Linked DNA regions of Oreochromis niloticus. The protein of the gene in region 1 purifies or fractionates together with the protein of each later gene. This does not show direct contact. Links are inferred from orthologs where the notes say so. Each region holds a gene or a part of one and is shown on either strand. Other genes may lie near its edges. The genes, in order: kdm6a, pagr1, kmt2cb and paxip1.

Region 1 (6,983 bases):
AAACAGAGACTGCAAAGACTGGTGTAACCCAGTGTTTACTTTGAAGATGATTGATTATAACGTGTTGAACCAAAATATAAAAATTAACAGTGGCACTGATAGAATACCCTAAAGACATGCATCCCCTGCCATGTGTAGGTGAACTGAAATCTATTTGCCCCAACTGTGCACAACCACAGTGGGAAATCTTTCCTTCTGGAACATTGTCCGTTTTTTTAATAAATACATAATAACAGAAACATTCTGTTGGGTTTCCTTTTTTAATTTAATTTCCATGATATGTATTATTATTTGGCGTTAAAACTGGAGTGTTTCAAGACGGCCATTCTGGGCTAATAAATAAGTCCCACGTCTATATCAAAAATACTTGCAAGTACGATGTTATAAACAGAAGGGTTTGCAATGCAGCTTAAGTAAAAACACAGAGCTCCAAGCTAAACTGGTATCTGTTGGTCACTTGCTGTTAAAACTCTTGAGAACTTAATTATAATATTGCTAATTATAAGCAAAGACTTATAATTATCCTCTATAGCTTTTTATAACATCAGAAACATAACACAAAAAACCCCCCAATAATACACTCTTCTCATTCGGTAGGTCCTAAGATGCCAGGCCGAGAAGGAATCCTCCGATGAAGCCACTTGTGACGACAATGTTTTTCTTCACAAACTCTCTGGACTGAAAGATACAAATCATATTTCATATGACACAGTCGCTTTTTCATTGTAACGGGAGGGTGAAAATGATCTCACAATCAACCAGACAACTCACAAAAAAATTACCTTCTCAACAAATGTGTTGAGCTCAGGGACTGCCTGATCTGTTCCCTTCTTTAACTGCTTCTTAGCTTTGTTGACATCCTTCTCTACTCGCTTCCAGTCCACTTGGATATAACCACTGTTGTTAGCTACCTGAAGAAAGACAGATTCATGAAAACAATGTCAACGTGTTGAAAAGCTTAACCTGCACATATTTATGCAGGGCGATGCAATAATACCTGTAAAAGCAGAAGACCGCCCCCCACTGCAGTAGCAGCAACTTTTCCAACCTTCTGGAAGAGGTAACCTGCACACCTAAGGCAAATTGAAAAGAGAGCATAGTAGCTGATCTAACAATAATAATGACACAAGTTAGCCTAACAATGACCATTGTGAGGTGGCCATTCACTGTCATAAGGTTTGCATGATGTGAAAGGTCCCACTGATAAAGTATAACTAAGACACTGTTTGCAAGATACCTTAACTGCAGAGTTATAAAGTTGGGAGTGTGAAATTTGTTTTCTTAAGTGATGGCAAAATACAATTTTGTCTCTCTGCTACAGTAACATGTGAACAGCGAGATGAGCATGCACTATATGTAATACAATACTGTGCAAAACGTTTTGAGCTACTCCTCATTTCAATATATTTTGCTTCCAAGGAGCCAGGCCTCCTGGTCATTTTTTAAAGTGGCCTTGAGCAGTAGCTCTCCAGCCCTTCTGATGCTCTTTTAATGTTTTTTCTTTGGACTTTCCTTTCCAAGTTCTGAGGTATGCCAAATGACACAAGAACTGGATTGTAAATCGCTTGTCAAAAGTAATAAATTCATGAACACAGTAAAAGTTCTTTGATCCACCATGCAATGTCATCTCCAAAGTGTCTGATTTGGAAACTGAAACTAAATAATGAAACTGCTGCCATACACGCTGCTAAAGGTATACCTGGATAGAATCCCCCCCCCCTCCAAAAAACAAACAAAAAACACGGTGGAACGCAGTCAGCCACCAATTGTGCAAAGCCTGGACCTCAACATTACTGAAGCAGTGTGAGATCATCATGACAAAGAATGGAACAAAAGGCATTCAAAGGAGAACTTTGAAGAACTATCTTTGAAGAGTGCTTAAAGGAATTAGACGAAAGCTTTCTGAGGAGACTTCAGGCTGTTGAAGAATACTCATGACCTTGATCACTTTCAAGGTCATTAGTATTGTATAAACTCTGTTTTGCTTTATATACTGTATGACATATATGTTTGCATGTTTCAAATAATGTCTGCACACATTTCATATTTTCCTAGCAAAGGAAATGTGGGGTGGCTAGAGATTTTTGCATAGTACTTTAAGAAATAAAGACATCCGTGTCCAATCAGCCAACAGAAAATATACTGTAAACAAGATGAGACACAGAGCAATTTATAACCATCTAAATTAACCTTGAGATTTTCTAATTTTGCGTTAGGGTGTTTCTCAGCCATTCATATTTACTAGAACTACAACTACATGAAGTGCTTAACTAGGAACGCTAAAGGCAGCATAATGCATTTTAATGAGAATATTTACCATCCACTCACTCCACCTATTGCAATCTGTGTAGCCACAGAGTATTTTTCAGCTATGGGGCCGGAATTCTTTCCGAAAAGGCGGTTCCACCATCGCTGACGTTTAGCGTATTCTGTCAGATCCACGACCTTGTCGTAAATCTCATCTTCCACTTGTGTACATACAAGGAAAAATAAAAGACAGCTAGCATGAAATAACAATGAATGCAGCAGCGACAAGCCTTACAAGCACAGTTACATTAATGCTACAAAATCAACACACGATTCTAGACGCTATTATCCATTACTCAACTATAAACTGTAGTAGTTTCCTGCTTTTTTACTTAACAAGATCTATCATGACAAAGGCAGATACCAATAGTTTCATTACGGGCTCCATTACAACTTACTAAAATTCCTGGGCCTAACAATAACTTAGCATGACTACACAACTAAAGCTAACAGGTGAAAAGTTAATGCTAGCTGTAAATGGTGCGGCCCAAGAGAGAGTCAGCGCCACAGAGGAAACGGGAAAACGGCTTCAAGGCTTCGTAGCAGCAACGCGAACGTTACTAAATGCACCCACGGTGTCGAGACCGTCCTGGATCCGAACAACATGCAATAACATTACAGGCCTCCTTACCCTTGCTATTCGCCATTTTGGAGTGCACTGGTCTGTCCTCAGCTGCCTTCACGTCCGGCGTCATTTGCATAAATTTGACGGTGAAAAAGAAACCGAGACATGGGCAGGCCTACATATAATGTAACGTTATACGTTATGTAATAATAATAATAATAATAATGATAACAATAATACATGTTTTTCTTTCTTATGAAACATTTGGAGATTTTGCCAGTCTCGCAACTCCATCCAAGTTTCGCGTGACCTCCAATACACTGCACTGAAGGTTGTTAGGACACAGGTATGGGCAGCTAAAGGTGTTTTGGTCGTGGCTATTTTGTTTTTTAAGAATAACTCTAAATGAGTGCATTCCAAGTGGAGATGGTTTTCTAAAAGTTAACCCCCTATTTTTCTAACCGATATTAGGAAAACAATTCCTGACAATAACAGGTTTCATTTATTTAGGTTATTTTTGCACTATTAAATTAGCAGAAGAAATCCTGCCGTGGCTTATGGACCAAATCGATGAATTTGTTTCGAAATAACCCGGTGTGCCTAGTGGTAGAGAAAGACAAAACAGACAAACAAAATAAAGAAACAAATAGTAAATATATTAAAACATTATTATTGTGTTTTATATAGCTTTTATTTTTATGGGGATTTTTTAATATCTTTTTTGGAACAGCAAGGCATTGTGTTCATTCGCTGACGTCCTCCTGAAGCTTAAAACACAAATATTATAGATAACACGGCACAAAACTTCAAAAAGGGAATAGTTAAGAGTTTTCTGGACTATTTAGTCACTTTAGTTTGCTTTCAATGGAGTTCATTTCACAGTTTATTCAGTCGTTGATTTTTTAAATTCATGTTTATTTGTGTTATTTGGATGAAAATGAGTTCCCCGTTTCTTGAGCTAATAAGCATCTATCTATCCATCTATCTATCCATCTATCAGTCAAAAAGTACATGTGCGACGTTGCAACAAATACCCTTGGCACATATGACAGCTATTTTAACCAATACGTTACCTACAAAAACAGTTACGTAATCATAATACAGCCTGAAGAACCAATCGCAGGACGTGAGGCGGGACTTGGAAGCAGATTTGATGTGTACGTGCGCGTGTTCGCAACACGTCAACAGGAGACCACCACGTGACCGCGGATGCCGCGCGCTGATTGGGCACAATGAGCAGAGGGCGTGTCGAAGGTGGCGGCATGCGTTTGCCTGTGTGACACAATTACAACAACTTTGAGCCGATGGTTGGGGAAGTTTGAGATATTATCAAATAACACTCACTCCTAAAACCCAACATTACATCAACTTCATGCATAAATTGGCACTGGAATACACGTTGAGTTTGATGTACAATGAGGAGTGTGGAAGATAACTTGAAGGGATCATTTCCTTGAGGATTTGGCAAGAATTACACTACGCCCCGTTTTAATCCTGGATAGGTGTGCAACACTTTCGTTGTGACTGCATTTTGGCGGAGTTGCTCGGTGCCGTTGATCTTCCCAGTTCTTTTCCATGAAATCGTGCGGAGTGTCGCTCACCGCCGCTGCCTCTGCTGCTGCCCGGAGTCTCGGCGTTGCTGGTAATGACGAGGAGAAAATGGCGTCGGGAAAAGCGACTGAAATCGAAGAGGACTTTCCGAAGCTAACAGCGCAAGAGAAAGAGAGCTTGGTCGGAATTGACAGGTTAGACGCTCTATTGTGTAAATAGTTTAATTCGCTTAGTTTTTTTGCAATAATAAATTTTCTTCGCGCAGTTGGAAACAACAATTGCCCCCCCTCCCCTCCAAGTAATACGGAACCGCCTGTGTTGTCTGTCCTCTACTTGCAGTTCACTGTTTGGATTTCATAGGCTTCAAGAAGATGGCGCCAGAACGAAGGCCTTGCTGTTAAAGGTATGCCACAGAATAGGATCACAGTCGCCTCTCTCCGTTATCTCCACAGACGAGTGCATATCCCATATGAAATAAGTGGTACAGATCCCCCAACGCCACTCTTGCTATAAGGCCAGCAGCGACATACACAAACCATAATTTCCCCAACTTTGAAGCTGAACCAGCGGGCTAAATGTACAAACCAGCCCTCAGTTTTACATCATTGCATTCGCAAGACAACACGTACAGTGCCAGGTACACAGCGAGCCAACTCCAGTGTATTTCTGCTATGTTTATTACTATGTTTAGTATTAAACATGCCCAAACTAACCGACAGGGCTACAGTACGATTGCAGGGAGATGGGAATCTCCACCCTGCTCAAATCGGTGGTGTCATCCGTAGTTGAGAGTAGGTAACCATGTACATGATAGCGTTTTATGGAGTGTTGAAAACATACTTGGCGTAGCAAAAATATTTCTTTTAACAAAACTCACAATAAGTGGAAGGCACGTGTATGGGTGAAAAAAAAATATTACAGTGGTTATTACTAGTTAAATAATGCTAGATAGTCAAGCACACGTTGTAAACTGTAGGACTAACAAATTTAATACTTTGCTACCAAGCTAACTCGGTATTTTGAATCTAAAGGGATTACAGCGAGCCTGGTAATACGGTAAACGCCGACTTTCTTGACTTTTACCGAGAGACGTTAACAGAAATATTAGTGTCGCACTATGTCGTCCGTCCCCTCAGTAACGGCAGGCAGAGTTTGGTTTGTGCGTCAGCTCACTCTGTTAGCATGTAGCAGCTAACTGTCCAGCGGTTACCCACCCCCTACCCCCCTTCCTGCTCTCACGTATAGCTATTACGGCATAACTTGGAGAACACTAAGAATGAAAAAAACAATGTTATGTATTAATTTAAGCTTGCAAAAATAATGGCTGCTCAACTTGGCGCAAGATGGCGGGGATAGGGAGAAAATACCTAGCAAAGGTTTGCTAGCTGACTGGCTAACTAGCAGCGGTGGCTAGGCTAACCACCATTCGCATAAAAGATACAACGACGGTGGCGTTGTGTTTTAGAACAAAGATGCACGATTAAAGTGCAAAGCAGGGTTTACAGTTGATTGCACAGTGTCTGTTGGAAACACATCAACCCTGTTCATGCAGTCAATGTTACTACAGTTGAGCTGCCTGTGCTGGATGTGTCTTCAACATGTGGCTTCTGGGTTTCTTGTTGAAGAGGTTTCTTGGGACGTTGTTTTGTCAGGGTCTACTTTCAGATTAGGCCGAGCCATTACACTCATTCTTTGCACATTTGTGGTGTTGCTGTCCTTCATACTCTGCTGGATAGCTGGACAACCAGACCGTTCAACATCATAACGTTAAACTTAAAACATCTGGTTGTTGAGTCTTTCTTGGTGATGGTGTTTTAGATTGTATCCCATTGAATACAGTTGTGTCTTCCAAAATGAGTCTACGCTTTTACCCAATTCTTCTTATGTTCTTTCCGCATCCTACCATTTAAAAATTTGAGGTGACTAATTTTTTGCACGATGCTCTGTTCGAATGAATAGTGAATATTAGAAACAAGTAGATTTTTCATCGTCCAATATATGATAATTTGCTTAAATGGTTCCAAAAGTGGTCCTTGCTGATTGACACCGTCTCTACAGACTTCACTGCTGCACCAAAAGCAGAATTCGTGAGCAGAACAACAGTAGTTTAAATGTGCATGGATTTTTAAACCAGTTTCTGATACATCACAGCCCTATAGGTTAGCGTAGTTGTATGTGCAGTGACGAATCATGCGGGAATGTTTTTTTGTAGACCACTAGATAAGGTGCATTAACAAGAAAAATGTTTTCAGAATTTTTTTTTCATGAGGTCTTGTTCAATTCAATTCAGTTCAATTTTATTTATATAGCGCCAAATCCCAACAACAGTCGCCTCAAGGTCTTGTAATAACGAAGAGTTACTGAGTCAATTATCTGAAAAAATACTTTGCCAGAATCTCTGAAAAATATGCCTCTGCTGTAAACAACCAGTATATGGAAGGTTGCCTTTTTTTGCAGAGCAGTAGAACTGATCACAGATAAACACTGCGCAGATTTTCAGGATCAGTGCAGCTAGTTAATTATATCTGTCTAAAAACAGTGCAGCAACGTTGTGCATGCA
Region 2 (7,914 bases), on another chromosome or scaffold:
TCTTGAAGAGATCTCTTCCTGTGCGCATGATGTGCTCCTCAATCTTGCGGTGTCGCTTCATGTCTGACAATACTTTGTCCAGCCGAGCTTCCCTTCTAACAGAGGAGCGGGCAGAAGATCCTGGGAGACAACAGGCAAAAATCATTATTAATAAAAGAAAAAAACCCTCCAGATTATAAAGAGACACCACATATAATTGATTGTGACATACCTGGAGTCCTGCGTCGGCTTAGGAAGGCATTTTTTGGAGTGGTTTGCATTTGCTCCTCATCAAAGTCAAACTCAGTTGGAGTTGGAGGCCTGAAAAACAAAACATGGTTAACAACCAAAAGCACTCAAACCAAACTCCTTAATCCTGAAATGACCAAAAGGAAAAGCAACACTGACTTGCGTTCCCTCTCCTGCCTCTCCCGTTCCTTGGCTGCCTCCTCCTCTTCGTCTCTTTCGGGCGAGGAGGTCTGTTCAGGCGTGGGGGGCCTTCTAGGAAGGGGCACAAAGTTCAATTCCAGCATCTCCCCTTTAGCGAGGAGCTCATAGAGTCTTTTGATCTCTGCGGGAGGAGGCACCCAGTTTTTGGGGTCCTCCATTTCCTCGTCGCTGTACGGAAGCTCCCAGTCACCGTCCGCCTCTTCGGCTTTCTGTTTTCCATCTTCAGCCTCCACCCCTGCGTCTGCCTGAGATTCATCCTGCTGCGCCTTTCCTCCCACTGCATCTGTGTTCCCATCTGAGAAAAAACACGTACACAGTCAGTTTAAAATCTCTTTTAAAAACAATAATGAAGCGACATTTTATTGTGGATTAACCCTATACCTGGCTTTGATGTAGCTCCTCCCCCTTAGTTTAGAGCTACGTGCTTTTGTTTTGATTGGCTGCCCCTCAAAAGGTCGGAACAGCAGGTCGTGTGGCTGATGTGTGAGGCGACCACATAAAGAATATTGGCTTCCACTGACAGATCCATGTGTAGATTGTAGGCTGGACTTTTGAAGGGGATTACTTGTACATACACTGACCTCAATATGTGAAAGTTTAGCCATGTTTAATAGGAGCAATCAGCACTGCTAAAAGTACTGTATGTATGACAGAAAGCAATACATAATAGGTCCAATTTAAACATCTTTCAAACACACTGCTTTGACTTCTCTGTGACAAGCTGTACGTAGGGACGGACTGATATGTCAACAAAACATCAACATCAGACCCACTGATGGGCATCGGGGTGCAAATAGCAAAACTATTGGAAATCAGTGGTGACATTTATTGATGGCAGGAGCCAACATTTCTCTCGTGTGTAATATATTCTCTGCTGCAAGTGATAAAATAGCCAAAAGACTTGAAGTGATCAAGTACATCAGGGCACAGAACAACACAGACTTTTCTAATGAAGGCTGAATCAGATACTGAGCAATTCTGGCTTTACTGAATAGTTTCATAGAAACTATTTTTTAACTTACATTTTTTTTTAATTAAAAGACCTCCAACTTTCTTAAAGTTCACAATTGGATTGATTATAATATTAATATTTTGTAATGTTTTTTTGTTTTTGTTTTGTTCAATAGATGGTTTTTGCATTTTATTGCCGTCTTTTAACCCTGGAAAACAGTTTGGACGACTATGTTGCTTTTTAAAGTGCTCTAGATTGGATAATCTAGGTATAATGACGCAGACTCAAAAAGATACTTAATTTCTGTACTTTAAATATACATCCCCATCATAAATCCAGTTGACTACAGTCTATATACCATATATATATATATATATATATATATATATATATATATATATATATATATATATGAGCAAATACATTACAGTTAAAAACAGAAACATCAGAAATCACTTTTGGACACAACACTGGTGCTCACAGCTTATATCTAGTCCCAGCAGTCTGTTTGCTTTTTCTTTTTAACTTTCATACAAAGAACTGGCTCAGGGTGTACCACACCAATGCCAACTCCAGCACCACACCCACGCCAGACACTGGGTGAATAAGCATTTAAGAAAATGGGTGGATATATTCACTCATTTTGCCTTTTGTGCCAATTTGTTAAAATGTAAAGACTTAGGAAGCCGACAAGGTAAGTACCTACTAATAAACCGGTAGATAACTGACCGTGTTTCAGCTGTGCTTTGCTTCCTTGTATTTCCTGCACACTCCTGCATGACACTTGTGCATTTGTCCTTGGTGATACTTCCTACTCACACTAGTTACCTGTACAGGACATGCTTGTCCACACTGAAGACTTTTAACCTGATAATGAAACTTCCTGTCTACTGTGCGTCCTTTCACTACACCTGCCATGCATGCATCTATCTTTACACGTGTACTGTACCTGTATCCTCCTTGGCTGTTGCGTCGTCCTCCTCTGCGCTCCCTGCCATCTCCGTATCCGGTTGCTCCGTGCTGTCCTCGTCCTCTTTGCCCTCTGCAGCTTCCTCTGAGTCCTTCATGTTCAGAACCTCTATGCCCTCTTTCAGTGAGGTGTCTGTGGCCTCAGCTTGCATGCTTCCTGCTGGTGAAGTTTCTCGCAACAGATCTGCTGAACAGAAGCCTGCCATTTAGATCTAGAAAACATTTTAGTGCAGCTGAAACTAACTTAAGGTATACACAAGTGTGTGGGATAAGAGGATTTTTTAGAGGCTATAACTTTTAGCCGTAGCTGTTTACTTTTGTTAAAGGATAAGTGAACGTATAGTCAACTAAAACAAGCGGCTAGCTAACGTCAGGCCTAACCGCCAGCTATTTCTTAAACAGTAGTTAGTCTGCTAATAACATACGTGCCTTAAATCGTCATTAACGGCTTCTTCCGGATCAGTGCTGCTGTGAAAGCGATTAAAACGTTGAGTCAAATACTTTTCCAGTAAAAACTCCCCATGAGAGTCACTAAGTATAACAAACGCTTATGCACAGACGTAAACATAGCGCCATTTTGGCTGTAGGGATCTGCCTGAGCCTCTGCACCGCTGGGGCGGGGGGAGCTTCACCTCACTGTTGATACAACGTCATGTGGATAATCCACACTCACTACGAGCGGACACTCCAGCAGTAGAGGGGAATGGTTTGGAGATCTACGCTCGACGCGACTTCCTGCACACTGCGCAAGCGCGAGCAGGTCTTAGGGCAGACAGGGCGAAATTTGTATTAGCGTCCTTTGCTTTTCTGTTCATGTTGTTCTTGTTGTTTTTAAAGCGTGCGTATATGTACGTTTGTGTAGCGTAAACTTGACAAATGTAATCAGAAGAGCCACAAATCTCATTAATATGGACGCATGACGTAAAACAGGCGCCAGTATTTGTGCGAGTTCTGATTGGTTTACGGCCGTTTCCGGTTTCTGCGCTCTGCATTTGAAAAAGTGTTCGGTTAGTTCCTCAAGTTTTTAAGGGACGCGGTCGCCATTGTTAAAACCAAGCGTCCGAAATGTTGCTGGAAGGACAATTTAGGGCATAACAAAGGTGTGGCTTGTCTCGGACATTCTCACATAATATCGGTAAGCATATAGCAGGCTTTGGCTTTGGGACTATTATTAGCCAGGCGAGAAGCATCCGTTCGCGAGGGAAGTTATGACTGAGCTATCCAGCTTTAGCTTGTTATTAGCCGAGAGAGGCTTTCGTCAGTAAGGAAAACACAGCTTATCGGGAGAGGTTTCATTTGAGTGGCATGCGTTTTCATGCAGTGCTGTTATAAACAAACTGTCTTTTTCAAGCACGTTCGTGGCTAACTAGTTAGCTTATTTGTATTTTTTTTGTACTTTATTCGGGCCTTTCTTTGTGGAAGCGCAATAATGGCGACGCGTGTGGCGGTATCAGATGGAGGAAACAAGAAGACATCCAGGGTCCGCGTAGCTGTTCGTCTGCGACCCTATATGAACAAAGAAGACGAGAAAAGCGAGGGACCGTGTGTAAGAGGCCTGGACTCTCAAAACCTGGAGATAATCAACTGGAGGAACGCCACAGAAACTGTTAAATACCAGTCAGTGCCTTCATAATAATCTGTTATGTATATATGTATGTCGGTAAAGATTTCAGTGATTGTCTAGCTGTAAATATTAAGAGAGCTGTGGTTGTTGTTGTTTTTAGCTTCGACGTTTTTCATGGTGAACAAACGACACAGCAAGAAGTTTTCCTCTCATCAGTGAAGCCCATTCTGCCGCACATCTTGAACGGACAGAATGCCAGTGTGTTTGCTTATGGACCAACAGGAGCTGGTATGTTGAAGCACAGTCTACAGGGTTTCAAGAAACGTGTATATTAGCTGTGCACATGCATTTATAAATTAAGCTGTTAAGACTTGAGAGAGGTCACAATGATTTTTCTCATTTTGTTTATAGATATTTTGGCTCCCCAAAGAGACCATTTTCTAACTCTAGGCTTTTGCATCCTCTTTCACAGGTAAGACCCACACTATGCTGGGGAGTTCAGAGCAGCCGGGTGTGATTCCCCGAGCTGTTCGTGAGGTCTTCAAGCTAGTGAAAGCCAAGGATGAGAGTGATGGATGGGACTACAGCATTGGCATGTCGTATTTGGAAATTTACAATGAGAAGGTATGGTTGTTTAAGTAGACACAGCGTACAATTACTTGTGACTTTCTGTTCATGATTAAGTAAAGTAATCTAGATGGTGGTCGTTCAAGTTGAGGTGTTAGAAAACATTGTCTTTACTTTTAAGAAGTGTGTTTCTGCGTTTTTTAGCATTATAGAGCGCGGGGGGGGATTCGTGGTTGTTGTGTTTTTGTTTTTTTCTAGATTTAAATGGATCAAATGAACTTTTGGTACTTACTTGTTCCAAAGGTTGTAAAATAGCCTCAAATGTCTCCAAACAGCCGAGGTATTGAATCTTGGTTACCTTAATTGACAGAACTCTATGAATTTCCCTGTTATGTCACTTTAGCAAGTGAAACTTGTAGTGTGGTCAATCTTTAATACCTGATTAAAACCCTGTATTGAAAATAAAACTGCCTTTATGTTCATTTTAAAAGTGGAAATATTTCCGTTTCTAATGGATAATTCTCTAGAAATTCTATTAATACCCATAGAAGATTTTATATTGACCAAAAACTGACTCCCTTAATTCTGCAAATTTAAGCCAACAATATTATTATGCAGATGGTGTAGTCCAAACTAAGATGTTTTGGCACATGCAGGGTAGTCTTGGCCCCACCCAGCAGAGCTGTATGTGAGAATGCAGATATCTGACGCAGTCGGATGGGATGTTAGCCAGCCTTTAACCTGCCAGCTCTCTAATAAAAAAAACAGTGTCAGATTGGACAGCTCTTACCTGCTATATTCATGCAGTTCCCTTTTGTAGACACCATCCACTACATCTCGGTAGTATGAAACCTTTTGAAGCAGACTTATTTCCTGTTGCGCTACATGTCAAAATGAACAAATGTGGAAAATATCTGAATTGGTTTACCTAAAATTTCATGTGTGAAAACATCTTCAGCCTACCCATTCAGTTTCAGATCACTGGCCCTCAGCATGATTTAATAAAACAAGGGGGGTGCACATAGCTTTTTAACCTCCAGTCTTCTTGAATTTACTGCAAAAGCTTCTAACTGCATTTTCCACAGCATGTCCTCTGAACCTTTAAATGTACCTTTTTTCTTTTAGTGTGCATCATTCATCAATTACCGCTTTCCTTTCTTGTTCTCTCAGGTGCTTGATCTTCTGTCGCCAAACTCCCATGATTTACCCATCAGAGAGGACAAAGACAAGAACATCCTTATCCCTGGCCTGACACATATGAACATCACCAACTTCGCAGATTTTGACAAACACTTTGTCCCTGCGACGCTCAACCGTACTACAGCTTCTACTAAGCTAAACCAGCGTTCCAGCCGCAGCCACGCTATCCTTCTCATTAAGGTTTGATGGTCTTGGTGTAGTTTATTGAACTACTTTATTCGTTAGTGTCAAATGGACAGCCAGACAGCATCTTAAGCAGGTCGTGGTCTCTGAGCAGTAGGCCAGGATTTGGTAGCTGGTGCTGAAATCAATTCTCTTTTGCAACAGTCCCACTAGCAACTTCTGTGCTTCCTGGGATTACTATGGGAGAGAAACACAAACCATTATCTGCTGTCCTTTTTCTTCATTTATTCGTTGTTTTTTCCCTTTATTGTCATGCTTTTTCATAAAATGTAATCCTCTTTTTTTTTTTTTTTTTTTTTTTTTTTTTTCTTTTTCTTCTCCTTTCACCCCATGACTCTTCACCACCTCCTTGTTTTTCTTGCCTGACTTCTGTGCCGCTGCTGCTTTTCTGTTCTTAATCTCTGCAATGACATAGGTTGTGCGGACTCAGCAGCAACTTCCCCACAGACAACAGACAGGCAAACTGTACTTGGTCGATTTGGCTGGCTCAGAGGACAACCGCCGCACCGGCAACCAGGGCATCCGTCTGAAGGAGAGCGGTGCCATCAACCTGTCTCTCTTCACACTCAGCAAAGTTGTGGACTCTCTAAACTCAGGCACTTCGGTGCGCGTGCCGTACAGGGACAGTAAACTGACACGGCTTCTGCAGGACTCTCTGGGAGGCTCGGCACACTCCGTCATGATCACCAATATTGCACCAGAGTACAAATATTATTTTGACACCTTCAGTGCACTCAACTTTGCGGCCAAATCCAAGCTCATTGTGAACAAACCCTTCACCCGTGAAACTGTGGCTGTGCCTGTGCTGCCAGGTGAGTGAAACTGGGTGAGAAAAGCACCCACTTTTTTCAGTCATGGGACACTAAAGTATAAAAAGGCATTTTTATTGGGAAAGAGGAAGAGTCTTGTCACGATTTGAGCCAAAGGCCAACAGGGGGCACCCATGTCACATCCCAGAGGATGGTGGCTAACAGTAAACAGCTAACAGTAAGCATCCATCTGACCCAGCAGTTTGGGTCAGATGGATGCTTATTTTTGTTTTTTTGTAAAACTGGTGCTCCACTTGCATTTTTGCCGTTCTGATGTTCTCTTTCCTACTGCATTCTCTCAAAGATGGTCCTCATGTTTACCTGCTGCTGTTGGCTTTAATTCAAGCACTGCAATGCAACTTTGACTGATGCTGTGCCATTTTTGTCTGAGTTGCTTTACACTCTAGAGAGCCCCCACAGACACCGTTGCTACAGTGCACTGAATACTAAACTGTTAATTTTCCATCTGCCTTCGTCTTCAGTGAAGCGGTCCAGAGAGGAACGAGAGACAGGGGGGTCTGGCACTGAGCCACAGAAGAAGAAGCATAAAGAGGAGAAGAAATCCGAACACGATGGTTCCTCGCCCTCTACACGTAACCACAGGTTATAGACCAGACTGATTATTTGTTTGGCTTGTATTATGATGTCTGACTGAATTGAAAGGCTTTGTGACGGAGAAAAATGCTGTTGTGTGTAGGTGTGTCTGGAATGCCTGTAAACATGACTTTTTGATACCTGACTTGTTTCAAAGCCCCGATCGTACTGTCTGCCCCATTTTTCAGCCTCTCTTTGTCTGATATGATTTGTTTGTCTGCCTCTTCAGTTCGTCAGACCAGTCACTGATGGGTAGACTAATAGCTTTGGAGAAGAGAACGATGAGCTCCCAGGACAAAGAGAGACTGGCCATGCTTAAAGAGATCAAGGTGAAAACGCACACCTACATCAAACCCTGAGCTTGTCCACATGGATGGCTAACTTGAAGAATGCTGTTTAGTTTAGAGTTGCTCTAAGCAGTGCTATCGAGAGGACAGTGAGACAGCATCTTAAGCAGGTCGTGGTCTCTGAGCAGTAGGCCAGGATTTGGTAGCTGGTGCTGAAACTAATTCTCTCTTGCAACAGTCCCACTAGCAACACCTGGGCTTTGTGGGATTACTATGGGAGAGATACAAACTGTCATCTGCTGTCCTTTTTTATAAATTGACATCTTCATGCATGCATACATGGAAATATCAAGTTGGAAA
Region 3 (7,452 bases), on another chromosome or scaffold:
AATTGTGTCTCATCAATCCCCATTATGTGCAGTAACAGCACTCCACATCTATATAATAATGTCCATGAGGATACATGCAGTTCCAGATTTAATACATGCGATCATAATAAACTGTGCTACATTAAACCTTTTTAAATTCAGTGCCATCCATGCACTAAACACCGCAGACAGTGTGGTCAGAAATGGCTTAAATTATTAGTTAGGCTTTTTCAGTGACTCAGAAGAGATCTCACTTTGACAAACACCACCTTTCGCTGCTAGTCTGTGGCAATTCAACATCTTTCTATCAATTATATTGATTTCAACAGCCTTTAAGACGTCGTCCAACACCAAAACTGAACACAAAATACAAACCCTCTATAATAATGTTGAGACTGCACAAACCCCAAGTTAGGAATGTTACCTCTGAGATAAAAAACCTGAAGACATTGTCTCTTTAAACACTGTAGGATCCGATAAGAAGTCGTCGGATAAGGAGCATTTTTGTACAACAAGCAAAGGCTCAAAGGTGACGAGAACTTTACTTGGGGCATCTGAGGTTAAGATCCGGTAACTACAAGGCAGTCACGACCACCACGGGAGCAGCTGAAAACATGCTAACGTTAGCTTTTGTTGACCGAAGCTTGGGCACAAAGCAGCTGCATCCAGCTAACGACTGCTAGCTTGTTGTGCTCAACTCTGTCGCCTTTTCTTCGTCGACCACAGACAAAAGTAACGTTGACGTCGACTAAATTTAACAGAAATTGGAAAAATAAACGAAGCCATTTATCATTGTTAACAACCGAAAGAGGACTGTACTTGGCTTTAGAGCCATTATCCCGTAAGACAACTTTGAAAGAGAGGGCCATCTATAGCAAACAGGTTACCTATGGTTGCAGTTAGTTGTCCAACTCATACTTGCAACTAACGCCTACGCCAAAACAGTGAAAAACGCTTCACCTCTTTGTTTTCCCAATCCTAGTGTTAAACATGTCCATGGCTCATAGAAAACTTGTCGAGCGACCTTAAAAAACACTACCCCTCCTAATAGCCAGCTTCAAACCGGGTGCAAGGCAAAGGGGAGCATTTGAGCCCAACACACACACACAAAGGCTCGGTCTATTCAATGAAACGGAACTATTCTAGGGAACTACAATGATGCACAAAAAGTGAAAACGATACGTTACACAACCACCCAGGTTCTGGTTTCTTTCTCTTTTAGCTTCCAACTAACGATAGCCGTGTGTTTTCGCACTGAATAGTGCAGTAAATGCGTTAATATTTGCTTATATGGCACCCATGAAATGTTCAATTGAATGTTCCGTTCCGTTGAATAGTCTGAGTCATGAAAGCCAAGGCGGCGACAAACCCCCAACATCAGACTGGAGAAGGATAAGGTTGGCTCAGCCTTACGTGAAAAGGTAAATTCCCAACAAACTCAGCTTACATTGAAGGAAAAGGCCAAAGAGGCAAATATAGCTTACCTTCCAGCCCTATGAATAGAGAGTTATCCTCTTCATGTCCAAAATAAGGGGGATGAAACGTCGCACTTATCACCCAGCTAGCTAGCAAGCTAATGGAGCTAGCTAGCCTCTCTCCAATGAAGCAACACCGCAGTTCTCAAAAATGCACAACGCATATCATTATATTCCAGCGCTGCAATGTTATTCCCAACTTTGCCCATTTGATGGAGAAGCGGATGATGTAAATCCAACAGAAAACCGCTTCATTGGCACACGCATCTGCGGGGATCACTTTCCTTTCTCCAATGACAGCTGTCGTCGCACGAGTTCGGCTTATATAGCTAGTTGGTGTTAGCCACCCAAGTCGACAGCCAATAATTTTACCATTAACGTGTAAACATAACGACCTCGAAATCCAAGCGGCTGCTAAAGTCAATGCTCCGTGAGCCAAACTTTAAGTAGGAATCCTCGGGTAAAGTGTAGCGACCCGCAAAGCAACAGAAAAAAAAAAGCTGGATGCCGACCGCTGGGGGTTGGCAACTGGTTCTATTTTCTTCAGCTGCGACAAGCTGCGGGACCAAGCGGCCAGTTTAGGAGAGACTCACAGTCATCCTGCCACGCAGTAACAACCGCCTCCAAAAGACATGTAAAAACAAACATTAGCTTGCCAAAAACAACATCTCGCCTGCCGCGCTGACCGAGCTGCAAAATGATTATGAAATAGCACAAAATTAAGTTGAAGATGACGCTTCGGGGCGCTCTGTAACGGTGGCCATATCTAATGATAAGTGGCACCGAAGCACAGCCCCCCCTCTCCAGGCTCCTCAAAAACTAGATCCGCCTCCTCCTCCCCCCGAACAGCACAACTACGGGCACAAATCTTTCAGAATCGACGGGGCTCGCCGAGAAAGGGATGTTTCGCGAGTGTGAGGCGTGTTTAAAAAGACCGATTAGAAGACGCAACGAGAAATAGCAGATAAACCGTTTTACAATTTCTTCAAAATACTCTCTGACCCTGCGGAGGGATATAAGCATTTAGTAAATAAAATAATGGCTAGGGAGGGCCCGAAAAGATGGAGCCTGGAGTTTTTTCCGTTTTGGAGTTGGAGCTGTTAGAAACCATTGGTGCTTGAGCTCATGCAAATCTTTGCCAGCTGTAGCTATAGAGAATCCAACAGTCGGAAGGCTTCCTCATAGCCGGGGGAAAATACACAAAAAATGGATTAACTTTAATACGCCATGGAGCTGGTGGTTTAGGCTGAATGCGAATGTACCTCAGCTGCTCCCATACGACGGCGTCTCTACTCCTGCTTTACACCCCCTACACACACACATACACACGCCCAGTATACAGATTTAAGCGTTGCATTATGTGTTAGATAAAGGTACTCAACAAACCGGCCGACCCACCGTACATTCAGGGGTTAACTTTCGGAAAAGACCCCAGGGGTCGGCTTTCAGCGGCTGTAGATAATATGTAATAGAGGCAGAGAATGTTGTGTCTCTGGTTAGATTTTGCTTTCGATTTTAAGGCTCACTTAACTACAACTTACCAGAGTTTCTTCGAGTGAAGCCCCTCAGAAAATTAACTGGAAATAAACGCAGCCCTATTCCTTTAAATGGTAAACCTTGGCACCTCCTTCCTAAACTGAGAGCTCCCCCTGCTGGCTAATCTAAAGTGTTTATTATTATTGTTATTGTTATTATTATTATCATTATTATTATTATGATTATTATTATTGTTGGTAGCAATCATTTCGACATAGTTCAAATAAATCGCGCATTAAAAAATGTGGCAAATGAAAGCAAGCACTCGGAAAATCAGAGAAATATAATGACTGTAGAGGCTTTTAAGGTGTGTATAAGGCAGATATGTGCAGTTGTATTTGCAGTAATTAACTCTTAACTCCACTGATCATCAGTGGGAGTATCTGCATGTTAGACAAGCCACCATCACTGGTATCAACACACCAAATGAGGGAGTGTGCTTTGTAAGAATGGTTTTCGTCCTTACAGTAGAATTACAGAGACAATGCAAAGCAGCACAGAAACTGTTTTCCAGGGCTTCTCCTTTACATAATCACTCATTAGTTTGTTTACTCTCAATAGTGAGCTCTGGGCTACAGAGTCAGAAATCTAGAATAATTTGTCTAACAGCACAATAGAGGTTGTGTATTATAATCCGTGTGTGTTATCACATATGCAAGAGACAGCCAAACAGGCAACCTAAAAGCATGGAATCTGATAATGCTAACAATACATCAAGCAAATATAAACGAGAACAAAGGGCAGGGAGGACTAACCTGAACATCTACAATACAGGCAAAATACAAATGGGAAGTTAGATGTGATGTGCATTTAAGATAGGTGATAGGTTTGTAGTGGTCAATATATGGACATATGGACATTGAGAAGCCCTGCCTTCAAATACAGTCTGAATTTCCAAGCACTGAAATGATCACTCTGAAGAATATGCTAGTTTTAATGATGTGATGCGTCATTTTTAAATGTGCCATTAACTCATTTATAATAAAGTTTTTGTCTGTTGATCCATTGAGTAGGATGGACCTTTGGCTGCAGGATAGGGAAAAAAAGAAGCAGTTGCCAGTCAGATGCTTTCCAGATGGTACTGCACAGTGGATCAAAATCCGATGGCACTTTTATTCATTATTCTAACAACTTTTACAGGAGCCCCTGCACCCCTGGCTGAAATTCAGGCTCCTTGTTATACAGTTGGCTGTAGACACTCACTGTTGTACCTCTCTCCTGATCTCCTCCATATATATTTGATGATAATTTGAGTCAGAAATGTTTAATTTGCTTTTATCACTCTGTTGCCACTGATTTAAGTCCAGTTCTTGTGTAATTTTGCATACCCTGTTCTTCTCTCCCTGTTCCTTAACAACTACCCTTCAATTTCTGAGGCTTCAGTGAATAGATAGATGCATCTCTCAGGCCCTGTGTCAGGTCTATGCTGGATTTGTCCTCGTTTCTTAACAATATGAATTTCAGATACTGTTTTTCTGCTGTAGAGTTTGTTTGTTTGTTTTAGGTCTGCCACTTCTTCTTCTGTCCTCGTCTTGTTCTTTTTCCTCAAATTTTTTGAAGAACACACTGCACACCATACAGACATATCCCAACCCTTTGGCAAGTCGTCTTTGAGGATTTTGCTTAATTCAACAAAAGTAATAAACAAAATATGTGTTTTTATGTCAGGCTGCTAGGAACAAAGTGTTGAAAGATACAATTTATAATGACTCTTTGGAAAGTTAACATTCAACCCTTGAGTTAGATGCCTTTTTTTTTTACACTTGAATGATTCATAGGTGAGTTTTAAGTGCTGTAACAAACAATAACATTGTTCTGGGCTGGAAGTGAGTGAAAACATTGACTGACCTTCAGAAAATTTACAAGAAAGTTTTGCTCCTTGGAAGTAAAACAAAGAAATGATGGGTTTCTCATGACCTTTTGCTTATACACATATATTTATTCAGGACTGCACAGTGGCAGGGTGTTAGTTCAGGGTTTATCTCCATCTTTCTGTGTGGAGTTTGGATGTTCTCCCTGCATTTTTGTAGGTTCTCACCAGGTAATCTGGCTTCCTCCCACAGTCCAAAAATATGCAGTTAGTGGAATTAGGTTAATTGGTGATTCTAAATTGCCCATAGATGTGAGTGGGAATGGTTGTCTGTGTCTTTGTGTTAGCCCTGTGATAAACTCGTGACCTATACCAGGTGTACCCTGCCTCTATGGTAGCTGGGACAGGCTCCAGCCCCCTCCAACCCTGAATTGAATAAATGGAAGAAAATGGACTGATGGAAGTGTATGTTTTCAGCTTTAATTCACAGGGTTTAACAAACCTTTTGCATTAACTGGTTAGGAATTAGAGACATTTTTATATGTAGTTCTTCATTTTCAAAAGGCTCAAAAGTAATTGGACAAACTAACATAATTTTAAGTATAAGAAAAAAAATCATTTTATTTAATAAGTCCCTGAGGTCCAGAACCCATGAAAATCACCAAATGTTGTGCTTCCTCCCATGAGATGCTAGAGCATAATCTTTCCTGCAGCTGCCTTCAGTTTCTGTGCGATTGTGGGTCTTTCTGCCTTTAGTTTTGTGACTGAAAAGCTGTTCTGAGATCAGGTGACGCACTTGGCCATTGAAGAAGATCGTATTTCTTTGCCTCAAGAAACTTTTTTTTTTTTTTTTTTTTTGCAGCATTCTTTGAGTGATTATGCATTTGCACTGTGAAGCATTGCCCACTCTTTTCCAGCATTTGGCTGACTCTGAGCAGTGAGTATAGCCCTGTGCATTTCACAATTCATCCTTCACAACTTAACCATCATCAATAAACACTAGTGACCCGGCTCCACTGGCAGGCATACATGGCCGTGCCCTAACATTTCCCCCAACACGTTTGACAGATGGGACACAAACGTGCTACACTTTGGATCATTTGAACTTTTCCTTTTCTTCTCCGTAATTACTGGGTACTACATGATCTTAGTTTCATCTGTTCAAAGAATTTGTAAGTTTTTTTCCAGAACTGGAAAGGTGTTGCTGAGACAGCTTAACTTGATATATATTGGACCAGGTTTTGTGAAGTCAAATTTCTGGTCAGCAGTATTTCCTGACAGCACGTAAGGATGAGACACGACACTCATCGGTATCGCTTTCTAAAATGTGACCTTTGTGTGGGTGTACGTTCACACCGTTAACCACCCATTGACCTAATTACCTTGAAAACACAAAGCTCCTGTTTAGCGTTGCATCGCTGATACTCCTGTTGGCCTAATTCCTTCATTTACAAACTCAACACTGACTGATCCACAGAGACTCAAGACTGTAATTACTAGAGCGACTCTGTACTTAATACTGATTTAAAACGACTGTTTTCGTATGCAATGAAAGCAATAATGACAGTAACATCATGTTTTATACTGGAAGTGAATTTAAATTTAAAGAGATCACACAGCTTTTGTCAAAAATCATCCTTCTGGCCAACATATAGCTTGACTCATTATACCACTAAAAGTACATGCATTTTTAGTATGACAAACACTGGCTATGTTTCAGTGTAACTGTGTGCCAGCGCAAACAAAAGCAGCACCCCCAAACCACTGATTTTTTTATTTACACCTGTGGTTATTTCTGCCACGTGTCAAAACCTCTTCCATAAAAATCCCTGATGTAATAAACAAGCAAGCCTTTCAGCTCTTTCAATGTCAAATAAAACACAAAAACCTCTTTAATATTTGTTGCTCTATACACACCAGCCACTTACACAGTGAGGAATCCTGCTTTACCACCATATGAGATATATAAACTATTCTTTAAGATTTAACAAGCATGTAATTTAATTTGCAAAGCTTAGACATGGTGGAAATGCTCCAAAAAGCTCATTAGTGTGGGATAAAGAAGTATTTTGGTATGTTGCAGACAGAGGGCAGCATGGCTCTACTGTTTCACACAACACTGGAAACAGGAACAGGATCAAATTGCTCTCTGTAATTCAACATGAAAAATGCAACCTGTCTGTTTTATTTCTACCAATACAATATATTTTACATTTTCTTTTCTTTTTTTTGCTATTGTTTATCAATTTATTCAAATAGTACCTAGTTTATAGTGTTTAATAAGGAGCATCCTGCCTATTAATGTAAAGTAATATTAGTAAAAAGAGATAATTAAATGTGCTCAAAGACAAACATTTGTGTGCAGTCTTCATAAAGATTTGTTTCTCGTCAGGTAACCGATGGCAAGGTGAAGCATTCAAACTCAGTTTGTCTTCATGCACATTTCCTCATCTTGCAATATAATTCAGTGTACATTTATGCTGTAGGTTTATATAATTATTAGCAGATAAATGTGCTTTAATACAATAAGTCACATCAGCAAAACAAAGCATAATTTCATGGCGAATGGATAAATGCTCAAGGAGCTCTTTTCTGGTTGTTGAGCTTAATTGGTGCCCTTTGGCTATCAGCATTAAGGACTAATTTTCAAGA
Region 4 (7,680 bases), on another chromosome or scaffold:
GGCTACCCAGAGTTCCCAGCAGCAGCCCGTGAGGAGCTTAGCCTGCATGCTTTTCTGCGAGGACTTTTTCCAGAGCGACTACGTCAACACGTCCGCCTGGCCATGCCTCAAATTCTCCGTGAGGCGCTCCTTGAGGCTGAGAGGGCCGAGCTGGTGTTCACCTCGCAACCTAACCAGCAGGTGCCCCCCCAAACTGCCCCCAAATCAGAGTCGCAGACTGCGACGGGGAGGGGAGGTCGTCGAGATATGCCAGTTGCAACCCTCGGTGCCCCGGAGGCGTCCCCGTCGACCGACCGACCGCTGCTACCAGTGCGATGAGCCTGGCCACGTGGCGCGTGACTGCCCAGCACCTGCCCCGAAGACCAGGACTACGCAGCCTCAGGGAAACAGGGAGGGAGCGGTGTAGTGAGGGGACCACCGCTCCAGCTTCCTGCCCCCCTCCAAGGACGATGCACGGTGGTGGGCCGAGTTGGGCACCTCAAGTGACTCTACCTGAGCTGCTGTGTTGAGGACCTGCCATGCCAGGCCCTGGTGGACACGGGGTCCACCATTTCCCTGATACGACCTGGCGTGCTCCCTGGAACGTCCGGGCCATTGGTGAAGGGTTGGTCGCCCACCGACACCCAGCTGATGACGGTGACGGGTGAGAGGGCTGATATGCGGGGGAAGAAACCGTTGCGGGTCCGAGTGAAGGACCTGGAGCTGGTGCACGACTTCTGGCTTGCTGACATTCAAGACCAGTGCATCATCGGCCTTGATCTGCTGACCCGCTGGGGGGCCTGCGTCAACACCGCAAAGCGGGATATCACTCTTGGCACAGAGACTCTTGCCCTCCAGTGCGGTCAAAAGCAGCGAGCGGAGGGAACCCGAGCCAGACGAGACAGGCGTCGGGCGGCTGCCGCTCAGCAGATTTCGGGTGCCGGTGGCTCCGGGTCATCTCTACGCACCTCAGCCCCGGCCTCTCAGCCCAACAAATCTCCCTCGACCGAGACAACCGAGGCTGTTGGTGACCTGTGGCAGCGCAGCAGCGTAGGTCTCAACGTTGACCAGTGCCAGCGGTTGAGGTGCCTCCTGGACGAGAATGTGGACATCTGTGCCGCCAGTGACAAAGACTGCAGGCAGATGGGCCTGGTCCAGCACACCATCGACACAGGCTCTGCTCAACCCATCCGTCTGCGCCCACACCGGCTGCCCCTCTCCAAACGGCAGGTGGCACAGGAAAAGATCCATGAGATGGCTGCGGCTGGGGTGATCGAGCCGTCCAACAGCCCATGGGCGGCACCCGTGGTCCTGGTGGGGAAGAAGGATGGCAGCCCGAGGTTCTGCGTGGATTTTCGCCGTCTCAATGCAGTCACCGAGAAGGACTCGTACCCGCTTCCACGGATCGACGAGGCCCTGGATTACGTTACCGGCTCCAGCTGGTTCAGCTCCCTCGACCTACGCAGCAGCTACTGGCAGGTGGAGCTAGCCCCCGAAGCAAGGCCTAAGACTGCATTCACCATTGGACAGGGGCTGTGGCAGTTCAGGGTCATGCCATTTGGGCTCTGCAATGCGCCAGCGACGTTTGAGAGGCTGATGGAGAGGGTGCTCGTGAACATCCCTCGTAGCCGCTGTGTTGTGTACCTGGATGACCTGTTGGTGCACGGTGGCGACTTCGACAGTGCACTGTCTCACCTGAGCGAGGTCTTCAGCGCCATCCGTTGAGCTGGGCTGCGGCTCAACCCTGCGAAGTGCCAGCTGTTGGCGAGAGAGACTACGTTCTTGGGCCATGTGATCAGCGCTCAAAGTATCGCCACCGATTCCGCAAAGGTGGCTGCGGTCTGGGACTGGCCGACTCCCTCGAACGTCAAAGAACTGCGGAGCTTCCTGGGCCTAGCCTCCTACTGCCGTCGGTTCATCAAGGGGTTCGCGACGATAGCCAGCCCCCTCCACCACCTGACTGACAAGGGCCAGCCGTTTGGCTGGGGTGATGCCTGTGCTGCGGCTTTTGCACAGCTGAAGGAGGCCCTCACCAGAGCCCCAGTTCTGGCCTACCCCGACGCCCGGCAACCTTTCATTGTGGACACTGACACTAGCAATGTAGGAGTCGGGGCGGTCCTTTCCCAGCAGGGCGAGGCCGGAGAACGAGTGGTGGCATACTTCAGCCGTGCTCTGGGGCGAGCCGAGAGGAACTACTGCGTGACCCGGCGGGAGCTGCTGGCCGTAGTGCTAGCGGTGCGGCACTTCTGGCCATAACTGCACAGTTGCCGGTTCCTCCTGCGCACTGACCATGCATCTCTGACCTGGCTCCTGAACTTCAAACACCCAGAAGGTCAGGTGGCCCGCTGGCTGGAGGTCCTTCAGGGCTACGACTTCGAGATCCAGCATCGGGCAGGTCGGCAGCATGGCAACGCTGATGCCCTCTCCAGACGGCCCTGCATGGCCGTTGAGTGCCGCTACTGTCTGCGACAGGAGGAGCGGGCTCAGGAGGCCCTGGGGGTGGCTACTGCTCAGGCCACAGCCAGCGGAGGGGGTGGCTCCCACTGACAACGCAGCAGCTGAAGCGGGAGCAGGAGGCCGACGCGACGTTGGGTCAGGTGGGGGCCTGGCTGGAGGCGGCGCAACGCCCAGACTGGATGGGGGTGTCGGGTCAGGAGCCCGAGGTGAAGGCCTACTACTCCCAGCACAACAACCTGGAGACCCACGACGGCCTCCTGTACCAGAGATGGCGGGCCCCCGGTCAGGGCAGAGATCTCCTGCAGCTGTTGGTGCCTCAGTCGCTGCGGTGGCAGGTGCTTGAGCTTGTCCACGGCTCGGTGGGGGCAGGCCACTATGGGAACGCCAAAACTCTCCGCCGCCTCAGGGGACGGTTCTACTGGCCTGGCTGTCGACGGGATGTGGAACTTCACGTGCACTGCTGTGACACCTGCACGGCGCAGAAGGGCCCCACTCAACGCTCCACTGCCCCCCTTCAGCAGTACTTGGTGGGGGCCCCGATGGAGCGAGTGGGAGTGGACGTCCTAGGGCCTTTCCCCGTCACGGAGTCAGGGAACCGGTACGTGCTGGTGGCGATGGACTATTTCACAAAGTGGCCGGAGGCCTACGCGGTGCCGGACCAGAGTGCGACGACGACGGCAGAGAGGCTGGTGGAGGAGATGTTCGCCCGTTTTGGGGTCCCGGCTGAGCTCCACAGTGACCAGGGGCGCAACTTCGAATCGAAGGTGTTCGGGGAGATTTGCCGGTGGCTGGGGGTGGAGAAGACAAGAACCACACCGCTCCACCCGCAAAGCGACGGCTTGGTTGAGCGTTTTAACCGCACACTGGCTACCCAGCTCGCCATTTTCACCAGCCGCCACCAGCGGGATTGGGACCGACATCTGCCCCTGGTCCTTTGGTCGTATCGGACTGTGGTTCAGGAGTCCAGCCAGTGCACGCCTGCCGCTTTGATGTTTGGGCGGGAGCTCCGGACGCCTGTGGATCTGGTGTTTGGGTCCCCCCCGAGCCGGAGATTGACGGTGGGCCAGAGATGGACTACTACAGGAGGCTGAGGGAGCGGCTGCAGGTGGTTCACGACTATACCCGCCAGGCCCAGGCCAGCGCCGGAGTACGACAGAAAAGGGCCTACAACACCAAGTGCCGGGGGGAGGCTTTTGTGCCTGGCGACAAGGTTTGGGTGTACTGCCCGGTTCGCAAGAGAGGAGTGTCCCCAAACTGTGCAGTCACTGGCAAGGGCCGGCGGAGGTCGTGGAGCGGCTAACGGAAGTGGTGTACCGTATCCGCATGCCGGGCCCGGGCGCATGGTGGTGTTGCACCGGGACAGGCTTTCACCGTACCGACCGCTCGCTCCGGCAGACGCCGGGGCAGGGGATGCTGGTGACACCCCAGGTTCTGATCTGAGTGACTTGCGCCAGAAGAAGGCACCCGGACACTTACAGGACTTTGTGTGGGGTAATGGGGCTGTTGGGGACGACTGACCCCTTAGGTGGGGGCTATGTAGCAGGCCAGGGCTGTTCGGGGTTTGTTCTGTTATTACAGTTATGTGTTTGTTGTCATGTTGTTATGGTGACGAGTGACCGCTCTCTCGGCACTGTGTTTCCGGTGAGAGAGCGCCTTTTTTTGTTGTTTATGTTGTTGCCGCGCTGAGGAGGGTGGTAGCGGCAGTGTTCTGGGCCGGTTATAAAATAAACGGGTGCTCCCAAATACACCTTTGTCTCCTTCGTGACTGAGCTCGCCACAATATTTATATCAATATTTTTGATATGACAGTTTATTCTGTTGGTAGTATTAAATATAGGATGAAATGAATGCTTTTATTTGGTTCTCAACGGCTTTCCACGGTCAGGCTTTTTTGTGTGTGTGTTTGTCGTTTTTCGAAGCATTCTATTGCATTTGTCCTAAAGTCAACCCAGCTCAGTCTGTTTGAGATAATCTGGTTTCACGTTTAGATCAAAACAATAACCTTTACGTCACAGGGGGGTTATGTGTCTATTTGAAAACATATTTGTAAATTCCCGTCGCCGTTATTCTGTTATATGAGTTCTTTTACCCCAGTAATATTTACGATAAATTACATTTAGCGATGCAATGTTTAGAGAGATATAAAAACCAAAGCGACTGAATACAGAAGTGTTGATTTGCGACAGACCCCCCTCAGCAAGCACATAATGCTGCAGTCCAAGGCGCGCTAAGCGATTTGGCGCTAGTGTGTGTCCGGTGTTCTGTAATCAGCTGCTGCAGCGCAGGCACTTTACACTTTGAGCTTCTGGCTGTTTTTGAATCATACAGTGCCGCGACCTTCATGGCCAGTCATGTCTGAAGAAGAGATCAAGGTTTCCGATGAGCTTTTCAAAGATGTCAAATTCTACGTGGTTGGGGATATTGATCAAAAGGTGAGGTTCTGGACGTTAGCAGCTTTAGCCAAGTTGGTAGCCTGTGCTAACTAGCTAGAGTCATTGACTGTAAAGCAGGTGATGCAAGAGAAGCTAAGTAGTAGCTAAGTATTTGAGCTGTCTTTAGCTGACCTCTGTGAGCCCACGTAACGGTGCTTGAGACTTTCAAGTGACGCTCGCTCACTGAATACTTTGTGCAGAAGCTCCTTCAAACTGCACTTTCACGCAGCCCTTTAGCACTAGCTGCGAGTTTTGCATGTTAGCTGCTAGCTTCTAGCTTGCGGTTTGTGAGGCTCAGGCTTGCTGTTGCCGCTTGTTAGCATTTTTTTTCTAAACGATTAGCCTCAGTAATATTGCTTGGCACTTTTGATAAGCAGTGAAACGCTGCACTGCCAGTGTATTGTGTTACTTTTCATCAACCTATGACTGTCAGCATCTTCCTCTGTTATTCGCCCATTACTGCGCATGTGTCCGCAATTCCACTCGTTGGTACTGAACACCTGTGGTAAAGAGCTGTCCTTCCTGTCAAATGGCACTATCCAGACGCTTTGAATCTGCACCGAGAACAAACAATACAATTATCTTTTACGGTCTTCTCATGGATTGATGTCTTATTGGGATTGCTCCAAGCAAAACCTCACATTCTAAAATCTAGTGGGTCGTGTTGAAGTCTGGCTGCGGTTAAAGGCTCAGTTACACTTATTCAGAGCAGAGAGGTGTGGTGGACAGTGCCGTGTCTTCCTTTAGAATGAAGTTGTGCACGGTAGGAGAGATAAAAAATTTATCAAAAAAAGTATTTCAGTTTTTCTTATATCAGTATCATTCACTGAAAAATTACAGTAACCAGCTCCGTCTTTGTTTATTATGGCACACAGGTAATAATTGTAATATTATTATCAAACATGTTAATATTAACACTAGATTTGGGTGGAGCACAGGGCTTCTCATCTTTTTCATTTCTTAAATGATCGGTTGTTAGTGCTTCATGCAGTCCATGTTAAGGGATGTGACAGACCAATTTTCAGCCAGTGCGAAGGGGCTTTAATTAGAGCTGGGCGATATAAGATTTTTTCATATCACGATATGTTTTTTTCATTTCAGGCGATAACGATATATATCACGATATAAGCCAAATAACTATATTTGTAAGATTTAAATGTGCCGTTGCTCACAAGTAAAATGTGAAATAATTAGCAGCTTGTTTTAATTAAAATATTTATTTCCCATAATAAGTTCAACAGGGTAGATGTACTTAAGGAACATGAGACTTCAGTTTCAGATAAAGGCAAATATTGTAAACTACACAAAAGGCAGCCGCTAAAGCGTTTAAGTTTCAAAATAGAACAAACAAAACAGACCACTAAATTGTCGATTCCACTTAGAAACAAAATTTTAATTCTAAAAATAAATCTTAGGTCGTTTTACAGAAGAACAGACAAAATTGACTAACTTTTGTCAATATCAAATAAACTGAGAACTAAAAGGAAATTCTCAGGCTACGTCCACACGTACACAGGTATTTTTGAAAACGGAGATTTTCCGTTTTCGTTTTAAAAAATAATCCCGTCCACACGTAAACGCAGAAATGAAGGAAAACACTGCTAGGAACATGCCAAAGCAACAGGTGGCGATATATTCCTAACCGTGTAGAAATGTTGGCCAATCAGAAGTCTAGAAGCCTCGGTAGGAAATAGTAAACAAAGATGGGGCATAGAAACAGAACCGAGTCGTATGTGTGGAGGGACAGTAACTATGTGTGTATATGTAAGCATTTAAACACTGCAGAGAGTACAATTAACAGTAACAGTATTGTAGAAATTCATTTCACCCAAACAATAACGTGGCGCACAGTGTGACGTCAAAAAAGGCGCACACCTTTGACGCTGCGTTTTCTCCGTTTTTCTTGTCCACACGTAAATGCAAAAACGGAGTTTTCGAAAATATCCACCCTGGCAGGCGTTTTTAGAAATCTCCGTTTTCAGTGACTGAAAACGCCGTTTACGTGTGGACGAAAGGTGCAAACGCATAGAAAAATCTGCGTTTTCAAAAATACCCGGGTACGTGTGGACGTAGCATCAATCTCTCCTTGTTGTACAGCTTAGCTTTTCAAACAGTTTTAACAGTTACTTTAGTCTGACAAAAGCCGAATGACGAATTAGCGCTTTCAGTCAGAGACTGAGCATGCACCGCTTTATTGTATTTCCAGACTTGCTTTCGGCACAATTTACAGTGCGCGCTACTCTGTTTTTTGTCAGACTTGAAATAGCCGAAATACCTTCACACTACGGAACTTCTGTGGCCCTTCCGTTCGACAAGCTCTCCAGCATTGGAACTATCATCTGTTTTTTCTTCGGTAACCTTCGCTCACGCTCTCGGTTGATTTTTCTCTAGTCGGCAAACTCATTTCCTTCATTACCTGGGCGGCCCGGCTGCAAAAACAAATACACATGTGCGCCTTGGCGCTTGTGCTGTACGTAACAAGTCATGTGACGTGACGCTGCGGCTGTGATTGGTTCGGCTCTGCGCTACTTAATTTGGATTGGCTGTTCTTTTCTTTTTTTTTTAAGAGGACAAGAGAGATGAGGTCTATCGCAATAGTTTAATTTTTCTATCGAGAAAAAGTTATTTCGCAATACATATCGTTATCGTTTTATCGCCCAGCTCTAGCTTTAATGGCGGTTTAGTCTTGAAGATTGCATTGAACAAATATATTTTTGCACATATTTACAGTCACGATAATATGCTGACATTTACACCCTAAACCAGCAAGGTTTTTGGTCTGCCAGCAACAGATCTGACACTGCTGTCTCTT

The links.
Region 2: the proteins of kdm6a (region 1) and pagr1 purify together in Homo sapiens (affinity purification with mass spectrometry; 5 studies listed by BioGRID and IntAct, with this or other methods). This does not show direct contact. The link is inferred for Oreochromis niloticus from reciprocal best matches to the Homo sapiens genes KDM6A and PAGR1.
Region 3: the proteins of kdm6a (region 1) and kmt2cb purify together in Homo sapiens (affinity purification with mass spectrometry; 3 studies listed by BioGRID and IntAct, with this or other methods). This does not show direct contact. The link is inferred for Oreochromis niloticus from reciprocal best matches to the Homo sapiens genes KDM6A and KMT2C.
Region 4: the proteins of kdm6a (region 1) and paxip1 purify together in Homo sapiens (affinity purification with mass spectrometry; 6 studies listed by BioGRID and IntAct, with this or other methods). This does not show direct contact. The link is inferred for Oreochromis niloticus from reciprocal best matches to the Homo sapiens genes KDM6A and PAXIP1.

Annotation. Positions count from the first base shown.
Region 1 is NC_031987.2:31,115,244-31,122,226, forward strand, and holds the start of kdm6a (lysine-specific demethylase 6A), read left to right. Parts: upstream 1-3,978; 5' UTR 3,979-4,447; coding exon 4,448-4,617; intron 4,618-4,762; coding exon 4,763-4,826; intron 4,827-6,983. Other genes in the region: fundc1 (FUN14 domain-containing protein 1), read right to left, coding at 601-678, 783-911, 998-1,073, 2,318-2,468, 2,939-3,008. UniProt on the Homo sapiens protein: Histone demethylase that specifically demethylates 'Lys-27' of histone H3, thereby playing a central role in histone code. Demethylates trimethylated and dimethylated but not monomethylated H3 'Lys-27'.
Region 2 is NC_031973.2:16,564,402-16,572,315, reverse strand, and holds the start of pagr1 (PAXIP1-associated glutamate-rich protein 1), read right to left. Parts: upstream 3,016-7,914; 5' UTR 2,780-3,015; intron 2,535-2,779; 5' UTR 2,503-2,534; coding exon 2,331-2,502; intron 725-2,330; coding exon 388-724; intron 301-387; coding exon 212-300; intron 121-211; coding exon 1-120. Other genes in the region: kinesin-like protein KIF22, read left to right, coding at 3,780-3,967, 4,075-4,202, 4,387-4,538, 5,652-5,861, 6,280-6,676, 7,156-7,276, 7,497-7,596. UniProt on the Homo sapiens protein: Its association with the histone methyltransferase MLL2/MLL3 complex is suggesting a role in epigenetic transcriptional activation. However, in association with PAXIP1/PTIP is proposed to function at least in part independently of the MLL2/MLL3 complex.
Region 3 is NC_031982.2:16,678,389-16,685,840, reverse strand, and holds the start of kmt2cb (histone-lysine N-methyltransferase 2C), read right to left. Parts: upstream 3,016-7,452; 5' UTR 2,996-3,015; intron 2,243-2,995; exon of another isoform or gene 1,464-2,242; intron 1-1,463. UniProt on the Homo sapiens protein: Histone methyltransferase that catalyzes methyl group transfer from S-adenosyl-L-methionine to the epsilon-amino group of 'Lys-4' of histone H3 (H3K4).
Region 4 is NC_031982.2:752,223-759,902, reverse strand, and holds the start of paxip1 (PAX-interacting protein 1), read left to right. Parts: upstream 1-4,661; 5' UTR 4,662-4,787; coding exon 4,788-4,868; intron 4,869-7,680.